Macaca mulatta: one gene and its partners. The protein of the gene in region 1 purifies or fractionates together with the protein of each later gene. This does not show direct contact. Links are inferred from orthologs where the notes say so. Each region holds a gene or a part of one and is shown in the gene's direction. Other genes may lie near its edges. The genes, in order: KSR2, CDC37, MAP2K2 and FKBP5.

The links.
Region 2: the proteins of KSR2 (region 1) and CDC37 purify together in Homo sapiens (affinity purification with mass spectrometry; 3 studies listed by BioGRID and IntAct, with this or other methods). This does not show direct contact. The link is inferred for Macaca mulatta from reciprocal best matches to the Homo sapiens genes KSR2 and CDC37.
Region 3: the proteins of KSR2 (region 1) and MAP2K2 purify together in Homo sapiens (affinity purification with mass spectrometry; 3 studies listed by BioGRID and IntAct, with this or other methods). This does not show direct contact. The link is inferred for Macaca mulatta from reciprocal best matches to the Homo sapiens genes KSR2 and MAP2K2.
Region 4: the proteins of KSR2 (region 1) and FKBP5 purify together in Homo sapiens (affinity purification with mass spectrometry; 3 studies listed by BioGRID and IntAct, with this or other methods). This does not show direct contact. The link is inferred for Macaca mulatta from reciprocal best matches to the Homo sapiens genes KSR2 and FKBP5.

What each region holds. Positions count from the first base shown.
Region 1 is NC_133416.1:125,024,991-125,029,987, reverse strand, and holds part of KSR2 (kinase suppressor of Ras 2), read left to right. Parts: intron 1-2,285; coding exon 2,286-2,799; intron 2,800-4,997. UniProt on the Homo sapiens protein: Location-regulated scaffold connecting MEK to RAF. Has very low protein kinase activity and can phosphorylate MAP2K1 at several Ser and Thr residues with very low efficiency (in vitro).
Region 2 is NC_133424.1:11,119,621-11,123,663, reverse strand, and holds the end of CDC37 (hsp90 co-chaperone Cdc37), read left to right. Parts: intron 1-517; coding exon 518-700; intron 701-800; coding exon 801-872; intron 873-2,557; coding exon 2,558-2,713; 3' UTR 2,714-3,131; downstream 3,132-4,043. UniProt on the Homo sapiens protein: Co-chaperone that binds to numerous kinases and promotes their interaction with the Hsp90 complex, resulting in stabilization and promotion of their activity. Inhibits HSP90AA1 ATPase activity.
Region 3 is NC_133424.1:4,939,035-4,944,031, reverse strand, and holds part of MAP2K2 (dual specificity mitogen-activated protein kinase kinase 2), read left to right. Parts: exon of another isoform or gene 1-524; intron 525-827; coding exon 828-1,038; intron 1,039-4,997. UniProt on the Homo sapiens protein: Catalyzes the concomitant phosphorylation of a threonine and a tyrosine residue in a Thr-Glu-Tyr sequence located in MAP kinases. Activates the ERK1 and ERK2 MAP kinases.
Region 4 is NC_133409.1:146,535,736-146,541,324, forward strand, and holds the start of FKBP5 (peptidyl-prolyl cis-trans isomerase FKBP5), read left to right. Parts: upstream 1-2,345; 5' UTR 2,346-2,415; intron 2,416-5,589. UniProt on the Homo sapiens protein: Immunophilin protein with PPIase and co-chaperone activities. Component of unligated steroid receptors heterocomplexes through interaction with heat-shock protein 90 (HSP90).

The sequences.
Region 1 (4,997 bases):
TATCCCTCCCGTAGTCCCCCACTCCCCCTGCAGGACCCTGTGTGTGATGTCCCCTACCCTGTGTCCAAATGATCTCATTGTTCAATTCCCACCTATGAGTGAGAGAACATGTGGTGTTTGGTTTTCTGTCCTTGTGATAGTTTGCTGAGAATGATAGTTTCCAGCTTCATCCATGTCCCTACAAATGACTTGAATTCATCCTTTTTTATGGCTGCATAGTATTCCATGGTGTCTATGTGCACCACGGGCCTACTTTTATGTACTCTGATCATCTGTGTAGGTTTGTATATCTACCACAGTCAAGATGCTGGAGAGTTCCAGCACTCCAAGGCTCCCTTGTATTGCTCTTCTATCCCCGCATCCATTTTTCTCCTACCCACTTTTCTGCCATCCCTAACCCCTGGCAGCCATCAGTCTATCCTCTGTTTCAAAAATGTTGTCATTTCAAAAATACTATATAAATGGAGTCATATAGTATGTAACCTTTGGGGATTGGCATTTTTTTTACTCAGCCTAATTCTCTGGACATTCGCCCAGGCTTTTGTGTGCATTGGCACTTGGTGCCTTCTCCTGGCTGAGCTGTGTAGCATGTGGTTTGTATGTAGCACTCTATGGTTAACCATTCTGTTACCCATATTCTTTGTTTTTTTAGAGCGAGCCTGTAGCCTGGGCTGGAGTGCAGTGATGCAATCTTGGCTCACTGTAATCTCTGCCTCCTGGGTTGAAGCAATTCTCCTGTCTCAGCCTCCCCAGTAACTGGGATTACAGGTGCGTGCCACTATGCCTGGCTAATTTTTTGCATTTTTAGTAGAGATGGGGTTTCACCATGTTGGCCAGGCTGGTCTTGAACTCCTGACCTCAAGCGATCTACCCACTTTGGCCTCCCAAATTACTGGAACTACAGGTGTGAGCCTCCGTGCACAGCCACCCATATTGCTTTTATCACATCATTCTGTTTATTTCCCTCCCAGCACCAATAACACAAGTCTGGAACACAAGTCTGTTCCCGGCTTCCCTGACCTGGGCAGCTCGTGAGACCACGGGGCAGCCCCTCGCAGTCCGGGACTTGACAGCCCCAGGGCACCCACCGACCGCACTCACTTGGGCGTGTGGGCCTCGTCCACGCAGTGCCCCAGCTGGAACTTGTGGGATTTGCTCCGATGCAGCGCGGTGAACCCTGGGATCAAGTGTATCAGCTTTCGGGAGGAGGGTGAAATCCTTCAGTGAGCATGTTTTCTTGTCTATCATGACTCTGCTTTGGCAGAATGTAAGTCCAGGGACCAGGGTCTCTTCTGTGTTACTTTTGTGTCTTTTCCAAGCAAAGGGCATAGTTGGCACTCACAGGATGTTTACTGGACAAATGCATGAATGAGAACATGGTGACATAGATCTGGAAGAAGTATGCGGTGGCCGAGGAAGTGGTCAGGGAGAAGGATGAACTTGACTTCCTTGGAATCTGTGTATCTCATGTGAGGGTTAGGTATTAAAATGTCCATGTAAGGGAAAAGTTATCCTTTAAAATCCTTTAAATCACTTTGAAACTGCCGGAACTGGAACCTTGGGAAGCTCAAAAGGCGAGAATTAACTTCTTTGCTTTTCTGAGCATTTGGGCTGTGGGGTCTTTCCAGCTATGGGGCAGTGGAAGACAAGGCTGTTGAATGGGGAATAGGGTAACAGGGTCAACAAAGGGATTTCATTCTCTTTTTGGAGAGGCCAAGTAGGGGTGGTTGGATTTATGTAAATGTGCTTATGATCTAATGTGAGTATGATGTAACGTGCATTTGATAGAATGTCTATAAGAGGTAATGGGCATATGAAATAGCATGCATATGATGTAATGTACATATAATGTGACATGCATATGATGTAATGTGCATATGATATAATGTACATATAACATGCATACAATGTAACAGATATATAGTGTAACATGCATGTGATTTAATGTGCATATGATATAATGAGCGTATGTTATACATACGATGTAACAGTTATATAGCGTAACATGCATATGATGTAATGGGCACATGGTGTAATGTGCACATGAAATAACATGCATAGGATGTAACAGGTATATAGTGTAACATGCATATGATGTAATGGGCACGTGGTGTAATGTGCACATGAAATAACATGCATAGGATGTAACAGGTATATAGTGTAACATGCGTATGATGTAATGGGCATGTGGTGTAATGTGTGTATGATGTAATGGTGTATGTGGTATAACTCATCTGGCTTTCTCATGGCTTACCCATTGTCTCTGCTCTTCTGTTCCAACTTAGGAGGCAACCTTTCCAAACAAGACTGGACCATCCAGTGGCCCACGACAGAAACGGGGAAGGAGAACAATCCCGTGTGCCCCCCGGAGCCCACCCCGTGGATCCGCACCCATCTCTCCCAGAGCCCCAGGGTCCAGTCCAAGTGCGTCCAGCACTATTGTCACACCAGCCCCACTCCCGGGGCCCCTGTGTACACTCACGTGGACAGGCTTACCGTGGACCCCTACCCGGGCTTGTGCCCGCCCCCGCCCCTGGAGTCGGGCCACCGTTCCTTGCCCCCATCGCCCCGGCAGCGGCACGCGGTCCGCACCCCGCCGCGCACCCCCAACATCGTCACCACCGTGACCCCGCCGGGCACGCCGCCCATGAGGAAGAAGAACAAGCTGAAGCCCCCGGGGACCCCACCACCCTCCTCCCGAAAGCTGATACACTTGATCCCGGGGTTCACCGCGCTGCATCGGAGCAAATCCCACGAGTTCCAGCTGGGGCACCGCGTGGACGAGGCCCACACGCCCAAGTGAGTGCGGTCGGTGGGTGCCCTGGGGCTGTCGAGTCCCGGACTGCGAGGGGCTGCCCCGTGGTCTCAGGAGCTGCCCAGGTCAGGGAAACCGGGAACAGACTTGTGTTCCAGACTCTGGCTGAATGAAAAATGGCTTTTCACAGAGGGTTCTGAGAAAATGAATAGAACAGACTTTCTCAGAATAGGCCATTTAAAAAATACGATTAATATCCTATAGCCTAGGGGCTAAATCTGATAGCTGGCCTGATTTTGTAAATAAAAGGTATTGGAACATACCCATGATCATTCCTTTATGTGTTGCCTATGGCTGCTTTTGTCTGACAATGGCAGAGTGAGAATGGCCCACAAAGCTGAAAATATTTACCATCTGGCTTTTTACTGAAAACGTTTGCCAACCCCTGCAGAGTCTAGCCTAGTGCCGCTCCTAGAAATAGGATATGAGGCATATATTAACCTTCAACTTTCTAGTAGTCACATTAAAAAGAATGAAAAGGAACAAGTGATATTAATTATCATAATACGTCATTCAACCTAATATATCAAAATGATAATATTTTAACATAGAATGAATGTAAAATATCATTACTGAGATATTTTGCATTTTTTAAAATACAAAGTCTTTGATATTGAATGTGTATTTTATATCCACGGCTCATTTCAGTTGAAGGTGGTAGGAAGCAGGACACATTGAGGAAATTGACAGAGGACCCCTTTGAGGGAGAGAGCAGGTGTGTGATGTAGGGTGACACTTGAGGATTGGGCAGGTTGCTGTGCTATTCACAGTAGCCAAAAAGTAGAAACAACCTGTGTCCATCAGTAGACAAATGAGTAAACACAATGTGGTCTATCCATACAATGCAATATGATTTAGCCTTAAAAAGGAAGAAACTTATTTTTTTTGAGACAGAGTCTCGCTCTGTTGCCCAGGCTGGAGTGCAGTGGTGCGATGTCAGCTCACTGCAACCTCTGCCTCCCAGGTTCAAGTGATTCTCCTGCCTCAGCCTCCCGAGTAGCTGGGACTAGAAGCCTGCGCCACCATGCCTGGCTAATTTTTTGTATTTTTAGTAGAGACAGGGTTTCACCATGTTGGCCAGGCTGGTTTCAAACTCCTGACCTCAAATGATCTGCCCGACTTGGCCTCCCAAAGTGCTGGGATTACAGGCATGAGCCACCACGCCCGACGTGGGAGGAACTTCTGATATATGCTACAACATGGGTGAACCTTGAAGACAGCATGCTAAGTAAAATGTGCCAGACACATAAGGACAAATACTGCATAATTCCACCAATATGAGATACCTAGAGTAGACAGATTCAAAGAGGCAGAAAGTAGAACAGTGGATGCCAGGGCTGAGGGGAGGGAGAATGGGGAGTTATTATTTATTGGGTATAGACTTTGCATTTGGGATGATGTAAACATTCTGGAGATGGATGGTGGTGATGGTTGTACAACAATGCAAATGTAATTAATACCACTGATCTCTACACTTCAAAGCAGTTAAGATGGTAAATTTTATGTTATGTGTATTTTATCACCATTAAAAAAAGGCAGGATTCTGTAAGTGAAGAGTTGGCACACTTTTTCTGTACAGGGGCAGATAGTAAATACTTTAGACTTTGCAGGCCATTTGGTCTCTATTGCAGCTACTCAACTCTATCATGTAGCACAAAACCAGCACAGACAATAGGTAAACAAATAGGCATGGCAGTGTTCCAATAAAACTTTATTTATAAAAACAGGTACCTGGCCCAATTTGGCCCATGAACTGTGGTTTACCAAGCCCTGTCTGAAGCTGTGGTGTAGAGAGTGATTCTCTTTTTTGAAGCATTGGGAATGCCCTAAAGTGATTGACGTGGAACATATGATTTTACAATAGTCATATTCAAGCTGCTGTGTGGAAACCTAGCTTGAAGACGTAGAATGCGTGTCTGAGACCTCTGAGGGTGAAGCAGAGGATAGATGCTTTTCTGATTGGAGTTGGGTTTGATTTGCATGGTTTTGTGACAGCCACAGAGATTGGGGCCTGCTGAAACCTCAAGGTGAAGACATGGGGTAGAGTTCTAGGAAGGCTGGGAGTGCAGGTTGCTAAGGTGGAAGGTGGAAGAGGCATTTGGGGTCTGCTTGCTACATTGTCCCCACACTTTGTGCTTCTTCCTGTCCGTTTCCCAGGGTGCACCACCTAGTAAGGCGAAAC
Region 2 (4,043 bases), on another chromosome or scaffold:
TGGGCTTTTTTTTGTTTTTGAGACCCAGTCTTGCTATCACCAAGGCTGGAGTGCAATGGCGTGATCTCAGCTCACTACAACCCCTGCCTCCTGGGTTCAAGCAATTCTCATGCCTCAGCCTCCCAAGTAGCTGGCATTACAGGCGCCTGCCAGCCTCTCGGGTTTTTAACTTGCGCACCTGGAGGAACAGGGCTACCCTTACCAAGACTGGGGAGACCAAGGACAAGGCAGGCTGGGAGGTGGCCGTGTTGAGTTAGAGGTGCCCATGCAGGGACACTGAGGACACGAGTGTCTCGGATCTGCAGTAGAGCAGGGCTCCCAAGGAGGTGGTCTTTAGCAAATGCCAGATGAGGTCCCTGGCAGGGGAGCCCAGGCCTTGGGAAGCCCTTTATGTAAGTCAGGAACAGACTTAGGGAGCCCTGGGGCACCTCTGAGGAGCTGTGGCTGGAGGGTCCTGGGCCCCCAGTCCCTCCTGAGCACTGGGCCAAGTCTAGTGAGCACTGCCCGACCCCCATAGACAGCCGATCGCCAGTACATGGAGGGCTTCAACGACGAGCTAGAAGCCTTCAAGGAGCGTGTGCGGGGCCGTGCCAAGCTGCGCATTGAGAAGGCCATGAAGGAGTATGAGGAGGAGGAGCGCAAGAAGCGGCTTGGCCCCGGCGGCCTGGACCCTGTCGAGGTCTACGAGTCCCTCCCTGAGGTGCGGCTCCCCAGCCCAGGCGGGCGGCAGGAGGACCCTGAGCGGGACCCCCCAGGGCACAGGGACCCAGCCCCTGACCCCAGCCCTTCTATACCCCCAGGAACTCCAGAAGTGCTTCGATGTAAAGGACGTGCAGATGCTGCAAGACGCCATCAGCAAGATGGACCCCACCGTGAGTAACCCCCACGTCCCATGCCTTTCCAGCGGGCCATGTGTCTCCCCCAGCCCTGTGTCCCAAGTCTCTGAAGCCAGTTGGTGAAAGTGCCCCTCCAAGGCTTCTCCAAGGACTAAGGGGGGTCGTGTTACCTTGGCACACACCCACATTTATTGAGCACCTACTGTGTCCCAGCATCCAGCAGATAAATGCTGAGCTTTGAGCGTATGTCCCTTGTGACTGATAGTCACTGTTACTGTGACTGAGTCCAGCCTCAGTTTCCTTATGCAAACCATATTTTCTCTCAATATCAGCTCACAAAACGTGTGGGGAAAGGAGCTGAGCACACGGCAGGGGCTGGTAAATGCTGGCTGTTAATTGGATTTTGTCTGTTTTTTGTTTTTGTTTTTTTTTTTTTGAGACAGAGTCTCACTCTGTCACCCAGGCTGGAGTGCAGTGGTGCTATTTCTGCTCACTGCAAACTCCGCCTCCCGGGTTCGCACCATTCTCCTGCCTCAGCCTCCCGAGTAGCTGGGACTACAGGCACCCACCACCATGCCCGGCTAATTTTTTGTATTTTTTAGTAGAGACGGGGTTTCACTGTGTTAGCCAGGATGGTCTCAATCTCCTGACCTCGTGATCCGCCCGCCTCAGCCTCCCAGAGTGCTGGGATTACAGGCGTGAGTCACTGCACCTGGCCATCTGTTTTTTTTTTTTTGACAGACAGGGTCTTCCTCTCTCACCCAGGCTGCAGCCTCCACCTCCCAGGCTCAAGTGATCCTCCCACCTCAGCCTCCCCAAGTACCTGGGATTATAGGCTGACACCATGACATCTCACTGATTTTTTTTCTAAAAATTATGTTTTTATAAAGAAGGTCTAACTGGCTGTATTTTTGGAAGTGGCAATAGACGTTGAATCTAAGTAGGACACGATTGACCCTATTCCTACCACTTGGCTCACTGGTTGGTCACCCTGGTTTTCTCGTCTGTAAAATGGGTCTAGCTGCAGGACTGGCCATGAGTTTCTAGAAGCTTCTATGGGCATAGCCATCTAGACCAGCTTCTGCAAACCGCAGCTCCCAGACTCACTGCCTGTCTTTATAATAAAGTTTTATTGCAACAAAGAAGCCATGCTCAATTGTTTCACTGTCATCTACAACCGATCTTGCTCTGCCACAGAGTTGAGTCGTGACGGAGACCATATGGCTTGCGGAAGCAGAAATATTTAGTCAGTCCCTTTACTAAAAAAATTTGCTGGCTTTTGTTCTAGATTGCACTATCTAAATTTAAATTAAAGTTAAATAAAATTTAAAGTTCCAGCTGAGTACGGTGGCTCACGCCTGTAATCTCAGCGCTTTGGGAGGCCAAGGCAGGCGGATCACCTGAGGTCAGGAGTTTGAGACCAGCCTGGCCAACATGGCAAAACCCCATCTCTACTAAAAGTAAAAAAATCAGCCAGGCATGGTGACAGGTGTCTGTAACCCCAGCTACTTGGGAGGCTGAGGCACTTGAACCTGGGAGGTGGAGGTTGCAGTGAGCCGAGATTGCACCATTGCACTCCAGCCTGGGTGACAGAGTGAGACTCCATCTCAAATAAATTGGTTAAATATCAATAGGCAGGAAGCCAGCTTGGGGATGTGCAGGGGATAATGGGGACCCCTGGGTGGTGGCCCCACCTCATCTGCCTGCCCTTCTCCTCACAGGACGCGAAGTACCACATGCAACGCTGCATTGACTCCGGCCTCTGGGTCCCCAACTCTAAGGCCAGTGAGGCCAAGGAGGGAGAAGAGGCAGGTCCTGGGGACCCGCTGCTGGAGGCTGTTCCCAAGACGGGAGATGAGAAGGATGTCAGCGTGTGACCTGCCCCAGCTACCACCACCACCTGCTTCCAGGCCCCTATGTGCCCCTTTTCAGAAAACAGATAGATGCCATCTCGCCCGCTCCTGGCTTCCTCCACTTGCGCTGCTCGGCCCAGCCCGGGGGGCCCGCCCAGCCCTCCCTGGCCTCTCCACTGTCCCCACTCTCCAGCGCCCATTCAAGTCTCTGCTTTGAGTCAAGGGGCTTCACTGCCTGCAGCCCCCCATCAGCATTATGCCAAAGGCCCGGGGGTCCGGGGAGGGGCAGAGGTTGCCAGGCTGGTCCACCAGGTAGTAGGGGAGGGTCCTCAGCCAAGGGGCCAGCTCTGGTCACTGGGCTCTGTTTTCACTGTTCGTCTGCTGTCTGTGTCTTCTATTTGGCAAACAGCAATGATGTTCCAATAAAGAATTTCAGATGCTCTCTGGGCTGCTGGAGGGCTGTTCAGGCAGCTCATCTCTTCTAGGTGGGAGGGAAACCTGGTGGAATTATTGGGGACTGAGCCTGTGCTTCTCTGGTCCTTTGCCCACCAGCCATCGTGGGTCCTCGCCTCACACATGCTGTTCCACCACTTGGAACAGTCTTCCTCCAGAGGCCTCAAAAGCCTCTAACCTTCAGTTCTCACCTACCCACTCCCCTGTCCCTACTTGAACCTCCAGAAGCAGGGTTGCCCAAGCTGATCACCACCAGAGGGCAGTAGTGATCTGCAAACCAAGTCAACGTTCCCTAGGGTTTTGTGGATCTTGCCCACCTGCCCACAGAGCCCCGGCCTTCCAGCTTCCTTACCACCTTTTGGAGCAGCATCCTGGACTATATCTCCCCACCCTATGGCCAGCACTGGCCCCAACAGATGTGTTTTGGTTTTTTGGTGTTTTGTTTTGTTTTGTTTTTTTGAGACGGAGTCTCGCTGTGTCGCCCAGGCTGGAGTGCAGTGGCCAGATCTCAGCTCACTGCAAGCTCCGCCTCCTGGGTTCTCGCCATTCTCCTGCCTCAGCCTCCCGAGTAGCTGGGACTACAGGCGCCCACCACCTCGCCCGGCTAATTTTTTGTATTTTTTAGTAGAGACGGGGTTTCACCGTGTTAGCCAGGATGGTCTTGATCTCCTGACCTCATGATCCGCCCGTCTCGCCCTCCCAAAGTGCTGGGATTACAGGCTTGAGCCACCGCGCCCGGCCTTGGTTTTTTTTTTTTTTTTTTTTTGAGAGTCTAGCTGTCGCCGGGGCTGGAGTGCGGTGGTGGAATCTCGGATCACTGCAACCTCCGCCTCCCGGATTCAAGCGATTCTCCTGCCTCAGCCTCCTCCTGGGATTATAGGTGTCCGCCACCACGCCCGGC
Region 3 (4,997 bases), on another chromosome or scaffold:
CCAAGTGGCTGGGATTGCAGACGTGCACCACCGGGCCTGCCTGGTGCAGCTTTTGTACTGAGCCTTCTGCCTTCCGCTCTCGGTTCTCGTACTGTGCTCAGAACACTTGTTCCTCTATCTCCTGCAAAGACAGGCATCCTGGCCTGGGCTCCGTTCACCTGATCCCTCCCTCGTGTCCTCCCGACATGGTCCGGAGCTTGTGCCCTAGGAAGGAGGCCTCCCAGCTGGGTGTGGTGGCTCACGCCTGTAATCCCAGCACTTTGAGAGGCTGAGGCGGGCAGATCACTTAATGTCAGGAGTTGGAGACCAGCCTGACCAACATGGTGAAACCCCGTCTCTACTGAAAATACAAAATTAGCCAGGCATGGTGGCGGGCGCCTGTAATCTCAGCTACTTGGGAGACTGAGGCAGGAGAATCTCTCAAACCCGGGAGGCGGAGGTTGCAGGGAGCCGAGATCGCACCATTGCATTCCAGTCTGAGCAACAGAGGGAAACTCTGTCTCACAAAAAAAGAAAAAGAAAAAGCAGATGGAGGCCTTTGAGCTGCGGCTTATCCTCGAGATCCTGAGGTCTGCTAGACTTGCTGAGACGGGATCAAGGCAGCATCCTCAGTTCCCGGGGAGCGGCCCTGGATTCTGGTCATTGGTGTGTCTGCTGAGTGTACACAGCATGGATCCTTCTTTCCTTCTACACCACAAACCCCTGAAGTGCAGGAATCCAGTCTGTGTCCTTCTGGGGGCCGGCGCGCCACGGCCACGCGGTAAACGGCCAGGTGGAAAGGTAGACTCTCCCTAGGTAGCTAACCCCTGCCCTGGGGGTCTCTGCAGGGCAAACCTGGTGGACCTGCAGAAGAAGCTGGAGGAGCTGGAACTTGACGAGCAGCAGAAGAAGCGTCTGGAAGCCTTTCTCACCCAGAAAGCCAAGGTCGGCGAACTCAAAGACGATGACTTCGAAAGGATCTCAGAGCTGGGCGCGGGCAACGGCGGGGTGGTCACCAAAGTCCAGCACAGACCCTCGGGCCTCATCATGGCCAGGAAGGTGAGCGCTGCGGGGTCGGAGGTTGGGGAGTGGTGGGGAAGGTTCCCCCTGGAAACAGGAGGGAGGTTGGGAAGGCAGCCGGGTCTCTGCATTCTGATTAGCTCCAGGCTCCATTCCTCATCCCCACCAGGGACTCTAGGTACTGAGAAAGGGCCCAGCTTCTGGGCAGATGGGAACGGTGCCAGCCACACACAGCTGTGCCCTCCGGTGGCTACCTTCTGCCCTGGAGGGCACTTGAAATCCACATTCGCAGAAAGCTAACAAGTGTGAATTTCAGGAATGTGAATGTGTTACGGTTCTCCAGAGAAACAAGCGATGAAGCGTGTGTGCGTTCGCGCCTGTGTGTACAGCCACGCACCTCATGGCGATGGCTCAGCCAATGACAGACCGCCTATGCAGCGGTGGTGACGTAAGATGATCGGGCCATGTCTTTGCCTTCTGTATGTTTATTTTTATTTATTTATTTATTTTTGAGACAGAGTCTCTCTGCTATCCAGGCTGGAGTGCAGTGGCACGATCTTGGCTCACTGCAATCTCCACCTCCTGGGTTCAAGGATTCTCTTGCCTCAGCCTCCCAAGTAGCTGGGATGACAGGCGGACACCACCGTGCCCAGCTAACTTTTTTGTGTTTTTAGTGGAGGCGGAGTGTCGCCATGTTGGCCAGGCTGGTCTGGAACTCCTGACCCCAGGTGATCCGCCCACCTCGGTTCTCTATATTTAGATAAACAGATGCTTATCAGCACCGCACCGTACAGAGTACAAGAGCCTGGGTGTAGAATGGGCTTTCCGGTGTTCACACAGCGACGACCTCGCCCAGGGAGGGATTTCTCAGTGTATCCCCGTCCTTAACGATACTTGACTGTATGTGTAGAGAGAGATTTATTCTAAGGAATTGGCTCACACAGTCCCTGGGCTGGTGGGTCTGAAATCTGCAGGACTGACCAGAGCCCCACGGAACAGCTGACGCTGCGGCTGAGATCCAGGCCCTCCTCTTCGGGGGCCTTGGGCGTGTTTTTTTTGGTTGTTTTTTTTTTCTCTTTTTTCCCCAAGACAGGGTCTCCCTCTGTCGCCCAGGCTAGAGTGCAGTGGTGCGATCATAGCTGACTGCAGACTCCGCCTCCTAGGCTCAAGCGATCCTCCCACCTCAGCATCCTGAGAGTAGCTGGGGCCACAGGTGCACGCCCGGCTAATTGTTTGTTTGTTTTGTAGAGACAGAGTCTCACTATGTTGCCCAAGCTGGTCTTAGACTCCTGGGCTCAAGTGATCCTCCTGCCTCAGCCTGCCAAGTAGCCAGGACTAAAGAGAACACCAGGCCTGAGCTCAGGCGATCCACCCGCCTCGGCCTCCCAAAGTGCTGGGATTACAGGCATGAGCCACTGTGCTTGACCTATATTCTTCTTTTTTTTTTTTTTTTTTTTTTCTTGGCTTACTGCAACCTCCACCTCCTGGGTTCAAGGGATTCTCCTGCCTCAGCCTCCTGAGTAGCTGGGATCACAGGTGTGCACCACCACACCCAGTTAATTTTTGTTTTTTTAGTAGAGATGGGGTTCACTGTGTTGGCCAGGCTGGTCTCGAACTCCTGACCTCAAGTGATCCTCTTGCCTCGGCCTCCCAAAGTGCTGGGATTACAGGCACGAGCCACCGTGCCTGGGCAGGCTTTTCCCTGAAGGCCTTCAGCCGATTGGCTGAGACTCACCCACTCTGGGAGGAGTAATCTGCTTTGCTCAGAGTCTGCCGATTTAAAGGTTAATCACATCTTAAAAACGTACCTTCCCAGCAACCTCTAGACTGGCGTTTGACGACGAGGCACCGTGGTCTCACCCAGGAGACGCATAAAGCTGACTGTCACCCCACTCTTTGAGAATTTGCAAGCCCTGGCGCTGACAGCCCCCGAGCTTAGTCATCCCGGGCTCCTGGGCCATGATGCAGCCTCTGCTCTGTGTTTGAGAAGAGTGCCCAGGGGATACAGGGAGGTTGTGACCACTCGGGGACAGCGGCTCTTAAACACATAAGCAGAGGACTTAGTGTTGACGGGGCGTTCAGCTCCTCACCTGTGTTCTTGCAGACATAGAATGCTGCCTCTTCCTGGAAGCCCACCATCCTGTAGTCCCCCAAACTGGGGGAACCTGACCGCACCCAGTCCTGTGGGTCCGCGCAGGTGGCAGCATTGCTGGGGGGCCCTGCCTTCCTCGGGAGCAGCGGCTCAGCTCCTGCGGGGATTTAGCTCTGCAGCTCTGTCTTCTGGCCTCTAGAGTGCCACCCTCCCTCCCTCCTGAAGTCTGCAGCCGCGGACTTGCTATTTCTGTCCCCGTGCTGCAGGCAGCCTCTTCCAAACCAGAGCAGCCTTGGAAAGCTCAGGTCCGCCTCCGCCCGAAGCACCGGGAGGAAAAAAGCAAGCTTGTGGTTGACAGAGCCACAGCAGGGCCTTGAGACAGAGTGCCAGTCCCCGTGTGTGCCAGGGACCCTCGGGCTTCTCAGGGAGCCTCCAGTGGTCCTTGATGGGCTGGGCAGTGGACATGAACCCAGTGCTTGCTGCATCAGCAGCTCCTGCTCCTGCTGACCGGCACAGGTGAAGACGGGCTCACCTGCAGCTTTACCACAGCCGGGAAAGGGAGGTCGGGGCCTTTAAACCTGAGGGCAGGCGTGGCTGGGCAGGCTCTGTGGTCTGGTGCATGGGGACGTCCCAGCGTCGGCTCTGGGGTTTGGTTCTGTCCTTCCGTCATGAAGCTGTCATTCACCTTGGGGAAGGCGGGGAAAGGGCACACAGGACTGTCGGTACTATTTTTGCAACTTCCTGTGCTTCTATAATTCTTTCAAAATTAGGTTTTCTTCTAAGCGCCTGCAGACTCGGGGGTGGGAGAGGATGCGTTGAGCGCGCGGGCTCAGCAGCTCTGGCTGCTATGCAGGTGGGACTGCGAGGGCTCCTTTCATCTCATCTTATTTATTTACTTATTTTTATTTTTATTTATTTATTTTTTTGAGACAGAGTCTCGCTCTGTCACCCAGACTGGAGTGCAGTGGCGTGATCTTGGCTCACTGCAACCTCCACCTCACAGGTTCAAGCGATTCTCCTGCCTCAGCCTCCTGAGTAGCTGGGATTACAGGTGCCCACCACCATGCCCAGCTACTTTTTGTATTTTTAGTAGAGACGAGGTTTCACCATGTTGGCCAGGCTGGTCTCGAACTCCCGACCTCAAGGATTCCACCCATCTTGGCCTCCCAGATTGTTGGGATTACAGGCGTGAGCCACTGCGCCTGGCCCAGTCTCAGTGTTTAAGGTCATGCTGGCTTGTGAGTGTCTTCTTGGCCTGACGGTGGCCTCTGACCCCCTCCCATTGGAGCGGCACCCCTGCATTCCCTGCATTCCCTGGGCCGGGGAGACAGGTGAAGAACTTGCTGCTTGTTACGCACGTGGGGCTTGAGTTGCCCGTGCTCGTAGCAGAGGTGGGTTGGTTGGTTCTTGCTTCTGAGTTCCTCCACTCCGCCGTAGCTCACTTCCAGGGTGGTGGTCACACGGCCTGCCCAAGGCCACCTCACAGTACCAGCTGCTGTCTCACAAGTGGTGACCTGAGCGAAGCCACTGCCAACACCTTTGACGCATGTTCTCATTGAAATTGAGCATCAGCCCCGTTTTGCAGTTAAAAAAAACCGAGGCTGAGTGGGGTCAGTGACCGAATTGGATTTGAACCCTCTTGGACTTGGGAGCGGCTGCCAGGGCATAGCCTCCGGAATCCATTGCACGTCCCCTAGCTGGCCACCACTCCCATCCTGTGTATTCATTTTAAAATCTCTTTTAGAGAGGAAGGCTTGCCATGTTGCCCAGTGTTGAACTCCTGGCCTGAAGCAATCCTCCCGCCTCAGCCTCCCAAAGCACTGGAATTACAGATGTGAGCCACTGCATCGGGCTCTGTTCCGATTTTTACAACAGCTAATTCAGAATGTTTGGAAGCGCAGTGTGG
Region 4 (5,589 bases), on another chromosome or scaffold:
TTGTTTTCTTGCTTTTTCTGTCAAATCCAGAAATCTGGAACCACTGGTTAAAGAGAAGTCTGACAGCCAAAATACACACAGCCAGCTGTGAGTTACTTACCTGCCTTACCCAGGAAAAGGACATGGGCTGCTCAAGCACACACCTCTTTGCCATCTATGCCAGCATTTTTACCTTCAAGGCCGATGTTCTCATCATGTTAAGTACATTTGAGTTTAGTAAATAAGTACGGGTTCTAGCCAGGGTTCAAAACCAGTTCAGGGCAGGGCGCGGTGGCTCAAGCCTGTAATCCCAGCACTTTGGGAGTCGGAGACAGGCAGATCACAAGGTCAGAGTGGCCAGCCTGGCCAACATGGGGAAACCGCGTCTCTACTAAAAAATACAAAAATTAGCTGGTGATGTGTACCTGTAATCCCAGCTACTCAGGAGGCTGAGGCAGAACTGCTTGAACCCACGAGGCGGAGGTTGCAGTGAATCGAGATCGCACCACTGCACTCCATCCTGGCAACAGAGGGAGACTCCGTCTCAAAACCAGTTTAGTCACGGATTTAGCTTTGTGGTCTCCTTGTGCCTCATTTTCCCCACCTGTAAAATAGAAACAATAAGACTTACTTCATGGGATTGCGAGGATTAAGTAAAGCACTTGGAACAGTGCCCAGCACACAGAGCTCAACAAATGTTGACTATAATCCTAATTATCTCCGCAGGTTTCACCTGGACAACATGTGGGGTGTGGGCAGGCAGTGAGAACACAGACGGTAGCCCTCAATGCATCCCAGCCTGAAAAGCACATGAGTCAGCCCTTCCTTCCACTTACCCACTACCTCTCACGCTAGTCGTTGTCTTTTTTTTTTTTTTGATACGAGTCTGGCTCTGTCTCCCAGGTTGCAGTGCAGTGGCGCCATCTCGGCTCACTGCAAACTCGGCCTCCCAGGTTCGAGCAATTCTTGTGCCTCAGCTTGCCGAGTAGCTGGAACTACAGGCGTGCACCACCGCGCCTGGTTAATTTTTGTATTTTTAGTGGATTGGATTTCACCATTTCGGCCAGGCTGGTCCCGAACTCCTGCTCTCAGGTGATCTGCCTGCCTCGGCCTCTCAAAGTGCTGGGATTACAGGCATAAACCACCACACCAGACCTCCCTGGTCTTCTTAAAGTGAATCAATCCGAATTCCTGTAATCCATGTAACTGCTTTGAGTGACTCTGGAACCCTCTTTGAAGCCCCCACAAATACCTAAAAGAGGAGCAGGAGCGCTACAACACATTCCCCTAAACTGTGTTTCTAAGAACCATCCAACTACCTGTGGAACCCTAAGGCCCCTTCCTCATCTCTTTACCAATATCCTGGCAATGGTTGTTTGAGCCTAGTTAATGACAGAAGCTCCAGCCAGATGCTGTTGGGGGTCCTCTACGAAAAGACACCGCCATTCCCGAGGGTGATACTGCAGCGGCCCAGTACTTGTGCGCATAGAAGCTAAGGGGAAATTGCCCTACCCTAAACTCCAGTGAAAAGCCCTTTGCAGTCCGACAGGCTTGCATTCACATCCCAGCAGTGTGGGGTTTGGACAAATTCCATAATCTGAGTCTGTTTCCTCTTCTAGAACGCGAGTCTATGAATTCCTGTCTACTGCCTGGAAGTGCCGCTGTCAGGACTGACTAAGATAATGTGTGTACTTTCGGTGCACAGGGGACGCTCAACACGTGCGAGCTTCCCTTGCAGAAAACCAAGAGATGAAAGGCTGGGGGCCGCCCCTGCCTTGACGTGCATCCCATACTCTCCGAGATCATCTCTCCCCAGCTAGCGCTTACTCCTGCCCAGGAACCAGATCCTGGGGCCTCCGGGTAGCTCCGGCTAAGGCGCGGGAAGCAGAGGGGGCCAGCGCCCCCAGAGGAGGAGGTTGGGGGGGAAGGAGGCCGCGCCTTTCCCCGCCCCGGGCCTCCCCCCGTCTTGCTCTCCCTCCCCGGACTACCTCCTCCCCCCGCGCGCATCCGGCGACGGGCACAGGATGTTCTTTCGCTCCCGTCCCCGCTCCGCCCCCGCTCTCACTTTCTCTTCGCTCCCCTCCCCCACTCGCGCCGCGCCCGGCGCCGGCACCTAATTTAACTCTTTCTCTCCCGCGCTCGTTGGCGCCTGTGCGCCTCCTGGGCGGGGGTCCCATCCTTCCCGCCCGCCCCCCAGGACGTGGAGCGAGGGGGCTGACCGGGAAGGGGCGGGCCTGAGCTGAGCGCTGGGCCCAGGTTCTCAGGATCCTTTAGCCCGCAGCTGGTGGAGAGGGCTCACCGGGATCCGGCACTCTAGAACCCCCGCTAGTTCACCCGGGTAAGGGTGGGGGTGGAGATGGGTACCCACACTCGAGACAGCTGCGCGCCCAAGAAAGGCGGCCAGGCGGGCTTAGATGCTGGCCCGGCGGGGGGCGAGTAGGGTCAAGGGCCACCAACCTCATCCTCCCCCCAGGTTCGGATGCGGAGGGGCCCAGGGCACCAGCAGAGGATGGAGAGAGGCCACGCCCCTCGGCGACGTCACTGATGTCAAGGCAACCGGGGGCGGGACGGTGGGCTACTGAAGGGCAGACCTCAGGGAATTGAGGCTGCCGGTGGCTCTGGGACGGGGTGGGGGTGGGGGTGGGGGCGCAGCAGGGGCGGGCTTTTCAATTTGCTTCAGTCAATGATGTCCAAAAAACGGAGTGAGGGTCAGCTTCTGTTCGCTCTTTGATTCAACAGGCATTTATTGAGCGTTATGCTTGGGGCTGTGCTTAGGCACTGGGATATTGCGTGCCATCCGAACCCTGCCAGTTGTTGTGAACTACGGTAGGGTGGCTCTGCGTCCCTGGAACGGACGTAATTATTAACAGTGCCCCTTTTCAAGTTTAAAGTGTCCCAGTATGGGCAGTAGTTAAGGAACACCTTTCTCCCAATTCAGAAAAGGCTCCAACCATACGGGGAAGGAATATAAACTATTGGGTACAACAGGCACTTTCCTGGTGCTTTGTATTCTCTGTAATTTTTGCCCCTCATTCTGCAAAACGAGTGTCACTAGCGGCTTTTACAGACGAAGAAACTGGCTCAGAGAGGTTAAGAGACTTACCCAGGGCCAAACAGCTAAGTGTTGGAACCAGGATCCAGACCCAAGTTTTATGTGCCCTCCAAAGTATTTCGTGCCTGCTTCTCAAAATAAGTAGATGATGTCAAATAAATAAAAGACACTGTCCCTGCCATTAAAAAGCCTACAGCCTATGGGAGAAGAGGTTTAAAATACTGCAGGACATAACTAAGCAATAAAACATAAAAAAGATTAGGTGGGGCACGGTAGCTCACTCCTGTAATCCCAGCACTTTGGGAGGCTGAGGCGGGTGGATCACCTGAGGTCAGGAGTTTGAGACCAGCCTGACCAATATGGTGAAACCCCGTCTCTACTAAAAATGCAAATATTAGCTGGGCGTGGTGGTGTTCAACTGAAGTCCCAGCTACTCGGGAGGCTCAGATAGGAGAATTGCTTGAACTGGGGAGGCAGAGGTTGCAATGAGCCGAGATCGCCCCACTGCACTCCACCCTGGGCGACAGAGCAAGACTCAATCTCAAAAAAAGAAAAAAAAAGGAAAAGATTAAAGGCAGCTCACAGGCTCAGAGGGAAGCCACTAGTTATGCCACTCTCCTTTCCACATTCTGCCCTCCTCTGTGGTTTTGTCTCTTACTGAACAGGGACTCCTAGCAGGCATCTGCCCTCATTCTGCTCTGCACCCAAGGTTTTGCAGTTGGTATTTGCCACAACCTTCCTGATATTAACTTGGATGTCGGCCTCTCCCTTCCCCACCAGCTCCCCACCTCCAGCCACCTAAGATTTTGGGGAAATGAAAAACAGTGGCCCTTCAAAACAAAAGGGCCCCAGTGAGCATTGGGAAGCCAATAGGCTTGATGGGACTGGGGAGACCAAGGCAGGAGAGAGAATTGGAACGGTGGAAAGGGAACACCACCAAATGGATGGGTCACTTGAGGAACATTTGCTGCCCTCCTGCTGTGCAGGAGGCACTGCACTCAACCCTGTGGCCTGGACATGCCATGAGTGAATTCAGGTCCCATCTCACAGAGAATACACAGCTTAGCTAGTGTACTCACTGTGCTTGGTTGAGGAGTCTGAAGTTGATAACATACACAATAAATGATGTTTGAGAAAGATTATTCCAGCAGGGTGTGTAGGAGGAAGGAAAAAGAAAGGACAGTGTAGCAGCTGCTGTGAGAATTTGGGCCAAAGGTGGAATCTATGGGGCTGGAGGGGAAAGGGTGAAGGAGAAAAGTAATGAACAAACAATATATTTTGAAATAAAAGCAACAAAGGGAAGAATTTGATAAGATATCAGACATAAGGATGATGAAGGAGAGAAAGTAGTTAAACATTAATCTACCTTTGCAGTGAGTTTCAGGACTGGGAGGGTCATGGTGGGCAATGGGGAGGAGCTGGTGTGAGGGACATGAATATGAGTTCAGTCACTTCTAGGCCATGTAAGGGCAGGTGTCCCGTAGGTGACTGGACTTGGAGATAGGGAAGTCCAGAAGAGCAGTGGGCTGCTGTCTGAGAGTGTCCCTGTCATAGCCTCGAGCAATCACTGACCTGGGATCACGGACAGATTTCAAGCATCAGGAAGAAGGTGGGAGTAGATGGCAGTGAAGGTGCCTCCCAACTGGGAGATGCAGTGTGCATTGGCTGGGTGAGAGCCTGTGTGGGAAGTGTGATGTATGTATGGGAAGGGGGTCCACGGCTCAGGCCTGTGTTGGCATCTTTAGCCACAGAGGGTGCCAGAGATGCCATCAGATGGCAGGAGGCCCAGGTAAGGCACTTCAGCAGCCTGAGGTCCCTCCCCTAGGCCCACCCTCAAAGGCCCTGGAGCCCAGGCCTATGCTGCCTGCCAGGGCCTTTCCCGGAACCACTCCTCCCCGCCTGCCCTGGCACTCTCCAGGCACAAAGCATCCCTCAGGGCACTGCGCAGCACCCCAGGAAGCTGGGACGTGGGGCAGGTCCCCATCCCCAGGAAGAGCCCTGCTCTGGGCTGCTGTCATCATCACAATGGCCCCACAAGATGCCAGGACACAGCATAGGGACAGCATAAGTCCCCAGTGGGGACCCCAAATGGGACCCCATTTCCCCTGCATAGAGGTGGAAGGAGGAGGTTTGTGGCTAGGTGGCAGGATTCCTGGGTCTTTATTGTGGTTTGGGGGTGGGGGCAGAAAAGCAGGGTCTCAGGCTTCAAAACACCACACCACCTGCCTGTTCCTCCCTCCGAGGAGGAAATCTTCAGGGGCCTTGTGGTTTTGAGGGGAGGGGGCAGGAAGAGACTCTGAACTCTGGGTCAGCTGAGGACAGAGATAGGGGAGATCCTCTTGCCCTATGTCCCACTTTTCTTCTAGGATCCTCTTCCTCGGCTCCCTACTCCGCCACTACCCCAGAACAAACTCCTACCTCTGTTTGCAACTAAGAGTTACATCCCCCATGCCAAGACCTTCCGAGGCGTCCCAGAGGGGTGAGGTTTGGGGAAAACAGAACATGTACACAGCAGCTGTGTGCCTGGCCACACCTGTCGGGTGGGGTGAGGAGAGTGC